Canis lupus familiaris: one gene and its partner. The protein of the gene in region 1 interacts with the protein of each later gene in a pairwise test. Links are inferred from orthologs where the notes say so. Each region holds a gene or a part of one and is shown on either strand. Other genes may lie near its edges.

Region 1 (3,591 bases):
AATACATCTTGGATCTGGGTTATTGAGGAGCAAGGCTGGGAGGATGAGTCTGGGAGCCCTGATGGCTCCTGCTGTCCCCCCTGTCATGAGAGGAGTGGCAAATAGATCTGGACCCTAAGTCTTGGGCAAACAGGATCTGGAGTCAGAGAGGAAGCCAGGGTAACTTCTATTCCATGGTCAGGCTCTGTTGCTCAGACTCCAAGAAAGGGGGAAGGAAGAGAGCAGCTTTGTGCCCCTTGCCCAGAACCCACCGTCTGCCGGGCCTGGGCCAGGAGCCTGCGATTCTGTTCCTCCAGGTTCTTGGCCAGAGTCTTCAGGTCCTCCAGCTCCTCATTCACAGCCTTGGCACACTGCAGAGCCTGCTGGGTACTGAGTGGGGGTGGGGCAGGTAGGCCACATGAGAGGGAAACCGTAGAGATAGCTCCACTCAAGAAAGCGGGAAGTAACAGAGAAAATCCTAGACAGAGACCTAGGGGTTGGGTACAGAGATCCAGAGGGAAAGGAGGGGAGGAATTTGGTGCAGGGGACAGAGACCCAGTTTCTACCTAAAAGACTAAGGGGGTGGGACAGAAAGAGGAAGTGCAGAAAGGGACAGTGTGGGGTCACAGACAGGGCAGGAAGTGCAGGGAGAACACATGGAAAGCGAGCTGAGTAGGGCTGCGGTAAGAGGGACACAGGCCCCTGGCCCACCTGCGAAGTTGCCTGCGCAGGGCTGTGATCTCCTCGCCCAGGCGTGTGGCTCCCTCTTCAGCTGTCTCCACGCTGCGCTGGAGCTTGGCGTTCTCCCCAGCCAGCCTGCGGTTGCTGAGCTCCAGGTCCTCCAGGCTGCTCAGCAGGTCAGCTGTGGCGGGCCTGAGGTCAGGGAAGGGCTGGTCACAGGCCACAACCCTCCACCTTCCCAGGCGGGGTAGGGGGTGGCTGCAGTGGGGAGATGAGGCTCTTCTGGAGAAAGAGAAACAATAGAGAGACTGCCCCGCTCTCTGGGAGCATGGCCCATCCCATCCCTCACCCACTCCGCAAGGACCCCAAGCTCTAAGGGTGGAGGCTGGAGGGCGTGGGCAGTGGGGAAGGGAGGTGGGGGGGCATTGGTACATCTCAGGTCTGGGGTCTTCGCCTCCGAAGCTCTCCAAGTTGGCTGGTTCCTCGGCTTCTGGGCATCCTGGAGGGAGACAGACAGAGGGTGGTAGGCTCCTGGTGACCTTAGGCGGTGGGGCCCCCCCAGGTTGCGGCCTTGGCGCCCCCCCAGGTTGCGGCCTTGGCCTCCACTAGCCTCACCCTTACATTTGCCCTGGGTCATCTCATCTGCCCCTGGGGCTATGGTTACATCCACTATCTGAAAGGCCTCTTGTTCATTGGTACCCTGAGCTCAAGCTGGATCTTTCTCATAGCCCTGGATTCACCACACCTGACATGGGCGGTGGCAGCCCCTCAACTGCCCTGAAACCTGTTCCTCTTCCTGGTTTCCCTCCCACCCAGCCACCCAGCCACCCAGCCACAGGGCTGTCCTCCCTCCCTCGCTCCTCCTCATCCCCACAGTCCATTGGAGTCCAGGCCCTGACCCCTCCTCCCTGACTCTGCTCCACTCTCTTGGCTCAGGTTTCTCCTTCTCCTCCTGGACCCACAACCTCCTCCCCAGCCTTCACATCCTGACCTTCCCCCTACTTGGGAGGGGTGTTATCTCAACCGGAGTTTACCTGCCCCTCCCATGGCCCCCCAAGCCCAAAAGGAAGAGGTTCAAGGGAATGTCAAGAAAACTGTACATGTAGATTTGCTTTTGTTTTGTTTTTGTAAGGTATAAGGGGAGAGCTTTTTCTATGGAGCACCTGCTACATGTGAGGCCCTAGGGATAAAATTGGGAACAGCTCAACTAACCAAATAGCAGGGCAAGTGACTCAATCAGATGGTCAGATTTCTCCAGGAAAGACAGGCAGTCCTGTGAGTGAGCCTGGACAGCCAGGGACCTTAGCCTGGGGCATCCCAGGGCTTCCCTAGGTGGGGCTTCCCCAGCTGTGGGAAGTTTTAGGGAGAATCGCAGAAGCGAAAGACCCTGGAGGGCAGGTAGGCCTGTGGGATCAAAGACTAGAGAGTAGACAGGAGCCCATTATGCTGACAAGGACAGGTGGGCCGGGGCTCCCTGGCCTCTATGACAGGGGTGCAGTTAGGAGGAGGACTTGGAACCAGCCCTGAAGAAAAAAAAAACCCAAAGCTCAGGGACGGTGGGGGAGGCAGCCATAGAGATGCCTGGAAGGCCAAACTCACAGCTCCAGACTAGAGCAAATGTTCCAGGGGTCCCACCCCATGCCCCTGGCTCTGTCCCCTGGTGGGAAGTCCCCCCACTGTCTGACCCTGGGCCTGCCTGCTTTATTCTATATATGGTAGTCTCACCAGATGGCGGTTGCTGGGAGGTCAGGGCCCCCTCAAAGGCTGTCTCCTCTTCCAGCTCTAATCCCCTGTATCAAAGGGATGAGGCTTAGAGCCCCCTGCAGCCACCCCCAATCCTGCTTGGCCTCGCTTCGCAGGGAGGGTTGCTGGTGGCAGGAGGGGCCGAGTCAGGTGAGAGCAAGAGCATTGAGAGCCCCACCATGGGGAGGAAGGTAAGGCCAGATGGCAGGAACCCAGGGCCAGATGGAAGAACAGAAGAGGGCAAGGACTGGGTTTGGAGAAGGGGTGGGGAGAGGCCTCTGCCGGCCCCCCAGCACCCTCATTCCTCCCCCTTCCAGTCCCTTTTATTTCTGCCTCCCCCCATCGCAGGAACTTTGTCTTCAGACCCTCCACCCCATCCTCCCAACCCCATCTCTTCACTTTTCTCTCCTTCTCAGTCTCCTTCAAACTACAGTAGGCCTCTTTGCCCAAAGGGTGCTGGCTGCAGTAAGCAGGTATGAGGTTAGATCTTAGGAAGGACTTCCGGGGGTGGGGAGGGCTAGAGGTGCAGAGACCTACCCATCCAACTGACAGGCAGCGATCCAGTCTCGCATGACGGCAAGGAAGGTGTCCAAGTCCACAGTGGCCTGAGGACCCTCCCCATTGGGGTCCAGGTTGCAGGCCAGTGTTCGGAGGCGTGTATCCTGGGGGCCACGGCCTGTCACAGCCTCCAGGTAGGCTAGCACATGGGTCACAGCCACAATGCCTGGGGACAGACCATGATGTGAGGGATTCTGGGGCAGGTGGGGGGTAGGGACAGGTGATAGCTTGAAAGTAGGACACCAGTGGCTGGGCTGGAGCCCCCCCCCACAATCCCCCCAGCACCATGGCTTAACAGAGACATTTTGGGCAAGTCTTTCCTCTCCTCTGAGTCAACCTTTTCACCTGGAAATGGGAGCCCAGCCATCCTCACTCACAAGGTAGACCAGAGAGGACCTGCTGTGCCCTATCAGGCTTAAGGGGGCTGCCCTCTCTCCCTCTCCCCAGGCCCTATTCCATTAATGTCCTTGCCCTGAATGGCCTCCATCCCTTTCCCCTACTTCCTTCCCAAAGCTTCGCACAATCACCCAGCTCATCCTGCAGGCCCCCCAAGAAAGGTTCCTAGCCCATCCCTCTCTCTAAGGCTCCCCAGTTTCCAGCTGCCCCCAATCCCTTATTATTCTGTGTGTC
Region 2 (4,291 bases), on another chromosome or scaffold:
TTTATTCAGAGAGAGCGAGAGAGAGGCAGAGACACAGGCAGGAGAAGCAGGCTCCATGCAGAAAGCCTGATGTGGGACTCGATCCCGGATCTCCAGGATCACACCCTGGGCTGCAGGCAGCACTAAACCGCTGCGCCACCAGGGCTGGCCAAGAAGTCCTTTAATAAATGCTTCTTGAATTAGAGAATCAGGCAGAACAAGGAGCTCATGACTCTAGGCCAGACCAGGAACCTTGAGTCAGAGAATTGTGGCTACTAGGTTTGTGGGTGGCCTGTAAAGAGTGCTAAACAGAAACTGTGAACTGGAAGGGGCCCCCGAGGTTGCCTCATTCTGGAGCTTTCAAACCTCTTCTATGACCACAATATGATACGTGACATTAGATAGGCAGAGGGAACAGAAAAGGTGGAGGGGAACATGGTGGAAATGGGCCCAGTCTGTGGAATTCCCTCAGCAGCCTGAAACACCACGATAAGGTCAAGTTTGTAAAAATGATTGAACAAGTCCAGTATTCTGATTTTACAGACCAGGGAAAGGGTACTCTGGAGAAGTGACTTGTTCAAGGTCTCACAATTAGTGGTGGAGTGGGAAAAGGACTCAGATGTGACTCCCACTCAGTGTTCCCAGACTGAACCAGACCCTGAGGAGTACCTTCCAAGCATCCACCATCCCAGATGCATGAAGAATTCCACTAAGCAAGCTCCATGGTTTAAACCAGCGTCCCCATGCAGTGTATTTTAAAAGTAAAGTTAGGGGCATTGGGTGGTTGAGTCGGTTAAGCCTCAGATTCTTGATTTTGATTTGGTCATGATTGCAGGGTCTTCAGATGGAGCCCCAGGTCGGCACCACTGGGCATGGAGCCTGCTTGGGATTCTTTCTCTCCCTCTCCTCCTCCCCTCTCTCTAAATATAAATAGGGGCTCCTGGGTGGCTCAGTCGGTAGTGTCTGCTTTACCCTCAGGTCATGATCCCCACGTGGCTAGCTCTCCGTTTTTTGGGGGGGGGAGTCGGCTTCTGCCTCACCCTCTGCCTGCCGCTCAGCCTGCTTGTGCTCTCTGGTGAATGAGTGAATTTTACAGGAAAAATTAGATGTGACAAACTGAGTAATGTGGCAAAGCTTTCCCGGGAAATGCCACTTTTCCTTTTCGCAGTTCCAGGAGTATGCGCTTCCGTTACCGGAAATCCTGAGATAGGGAGCTGGTGTGTGTGGGGGGTGTTCAGGTGTTAGTTCTTCGGTGGTGCGCGAGGCTGAGGTACAGTTTGTGTGCAGGCGGCATGTGCAACTCCTTAGCGGAGCCTCACACCAGGCAAGTGCAAGGTCCTCAGCCGGCCCCCAACGGCCGGGATCCGCCCTAGCTAGCTCCAGCCCTCAACCCCGGCCCTGCAGCCCCACGCAGCGTCTCCGTGGACCCCGCCAAAGCAGGTCCGCCCGAGTGAGGGCGCGCGTCTTCCGCATCTTCGCAGCACCAGTTCCAACCCGGCAGCTGCCCCCACGGGGTGATGAACCTACTGCAACCGCCGAACGACCGTCCCCGGGCTGAGTATCCATCCCCGCAAACTACCCCCGAGGGGCCGCTTCTTCGCCGCCCGTCGACCCGCCCAGGCAGCCTTGCGCGCTGCCTGGAGCTTCCTTCCCCAGCTCTGGGACCAGGACTAGCTCAGCGTTGCAGCCAGTGCTGCGCTCGGCGTCCCGAGGGCTGGCCAAGACGATTCCCTCGCATCCCGGGGGCTGCAAGCTAACCGGAAATAGAACCGCCCCGGACCCCAGGAAACTGGCGTTCGCGGGCGAGCTTCCGCCACATCCGCTGAGGACAGAGCGCCTCCCCCACGCCTGGACTTCCGGGTCCACGTGCGCCTCTATGGTGTCCGCAGCCTAGAGGGACCGACCGGCACTTCCGGGAAGATGGCGGCGCACAGAACGGGCGACGCACGTGTTCGCGCGGAGAGGGCCCCGCGGTGACGGTAAGTGGCTACTGCGCCCCGAACGGAGTCAGTCGGAGCCTGGGCTCAGGAGTGAAGGCGGGGCAGGACAGTGTCCTTGGCCGTTGGAACTACGGCATGAGGAGGGAGGCCAGGGTCGGGGTAGCGGCCCTTTGGAAGCGCTGTCAGATGGGTGGTCCTGGGACCCTTTTCCAGAAAACTCAGGTTGATCAGAAAGGGGACGGTTCCAGAGAACGCGCTCGCAGCCTTCCCGGGCCCGCGGGGCACCGCGTGGGGCCTGGTTGCTTCTGTACAATTACTGTGGGCAGTCAGCTGAAGCCGCCCGGATCTGGGTCGTACCGCTGAGCGCATTCCACTCCTGCATTAAGTGCACGGGGTTGCGGAGTAAAGCCCGACCCTGATGCGGGGCGTGTAGTTCCGAATGACTGCAGTGGTAAACCTCAAGGCGGGCAGCGCGAAGAGCTGTGAGAGACCAGTTCTGGGATGCCTGAGATCCTGGATCTGCAACTTGCCAGCTCTTTGCTTTGGGCAAATAATAAACTTATCTGTGATTTCTTCTGTTAAGTGTCGGTAATAATATTTCCTAAGGGGACTGTTGGGAGGATGAAATCAGACGATCTGTGTAAAGAGGTTAGCAGGCTGGCATTGAGTAAATGACTTTTAGACACTGTTGTTATTACGAAGATCTGGGGGCTGATGGATGAGAGATAACTTCCGGGAGGAGGCCGAGTTTTGAGGCGCCCTTAAAAGGCCCCAGTGTTCGAATTTTACATTTCTTAAAATTCAAGAAGTAAGATAGAGCAGTTTCTTCGCTTGGCTTTTTGTTGGGATTCTCAAGGTACCTGGTTTTTGGGTGATCGTTCTTCATAGTAGAAATGTGAACAGAAATATAAGTCATCCTGAATTTGCCTGCTCTAAATACCAAGCCAGAATGGGCAGCATTCTTAAGCCTATACATATATTTAGGAGAGGTGACTTCAGCTGATGTGGCTGATTAATATCATGTTCACTGGGCCTTCTTAAACACAAATGCAAGTTTTACCCTAAAGAATTGTCACATTGGGAGGCTTAGGGTTACTCCACTAGTGCCATTAATCCTTAAAAATGGTCTGCAATCCCTGTGATGAGTTACCTTAATACAAGTTAACTTTAGTGAGTTAAGTCAGCAGTGGTGGTCTTAGTTTTGTGTGTCTCGTGTGATAAGCTGGATAATGCCATTCTGGGCTCCCAAAGGAGAAGCGCCTAGATGACTAGTAATTGTGATGGGATGGAGGCCTCGTTGGAGGTGGGCAACCTGGGCTTGTATTCCGGCTCCATCTCTTATTAGCTATGTGACGCAGGCTTTGTTTTCTTTGCTTGTAAAGTAAAGGTAATTGTTATCCACAGGACTATCAGGATTAAATAAGACAATACAACAGTATGTGTAATCAATCTGTGATGCATGAAATGATCAGTGAGATGGACAGTTTCAAAAGGGGTGTTCCAATAAGAGTGAAGAGCAGCAGTGAGGAAGAGGTGCAGAGCCCCCACACTTGAGGTGACAGCCCTGGAGCATCGGTATGAGATAGGGGCTCCGCTGAGTATTCTTATAACTCAGGTTAAAAATCTCTTATCACCTTTTTTTACATGGCAGTAAATCTAGGGAGCTGTTAACCATGTCGTGGCAAAGAGCAGGGCTGTGCCGGCAGGCCATCTGGTTGACCTGGAGCAAGTCACGTTTCCTCATTTGTGAAGTACGGATGATAATACTTTCCTGAATGCAAAGTTTAGGAACCCTTTCTGGGCTAGGAACATTAAACACTCATGTGGTGAGCTCTCCGTAAATTTGGGTGTTATTAGTAACACCAGTCTTACTTGACTTTTCAACATGCTGATCTCTGTGGTCAGCAGGGAGCTCTCCCAAAGACCAGGCCTCCTCCCTTTGTCTACCCCACACTCAGAAAAGAATTTTTATGAGACCAGTCAGGATGGATTGGATGGACGATTTGGGCATTTTCTCCTTTTCTTTTAAAGGGATGATAATGGCCTCTTCTCTGGTGAGGGCCTGAGGATAGTGACTCTTCTCTCACCATGAGTGCCACCCCAGAGATCAAGAGTCGTGGGATGAAGTTTGCTGAGGAACAGCTGCTAAAGCATGGATGGACACAAGGTCATCCCTGGGGGGCCCCTTCCACATCCCCCCAACTCCCTGTCCACCTTGTGGTCAGGTGAACAGCGTCATCTGGGGCTTACCCGTAGTAGTCCATTCACCTGGAGGAGGAAAAGCGAGTTTAAAGGGCAATTTGCAGAAGACAATTTCTAAGTTTCCGGAAAATGGTTGGGTAGAAGAAATTTGATAGTAGGTCATGAGAGCA

Evidence for each region. The genes of interacting proteins can lie anywhere in the genome.
Region 2: the proteins of KASH5 (region 1) and GPATCH4 interact in binary tests that used the Homo sapiens proteins (3 or more experiments, as listed by UniProt). The two-hybrid records come from large-scale screens. The link is inferred for Canis lupus familiaris from reciprocal best matches to the Homo sapiens genes KASH5 and GPATCH4.

What each region holds. Positions count from the first base shown.
Region 1 is NC_049222.1:107,764,082-107,767,672, forward strand, and holds part of KASH5 (protein KASH5), read right to left. Parts: intron 3,128-3,591; coding exon 2,941-3,127; intron 2,451-2,940; coding exon 2,386-2,450; intron 1,160-2,385; coding exon 1,093-1,159; intron 943-1,092; coding exon 691-942; intron 370-690; coding exon 252-369; intron 1-251. UniProt on the Homo sapiens protein: As a component of the LINC (LInker of Nucleoskeleton and Cytoskeleton) complex, involved in the connection between the nuclear lamina and the cytoskeleton.
Region 2 is NC_049228.1:41,340,240-41,344,530, forward strand, and holds the start of GPATCH4 (G patch domain-containing protein 4), read left to right. Parts: upstream 1-1,443; 5' UTR 1,444-1,958; intron 1,959-3,950; 5' UTR 3,951-4,007; coding exon 4,008-4,086; intron 4,087-4,291.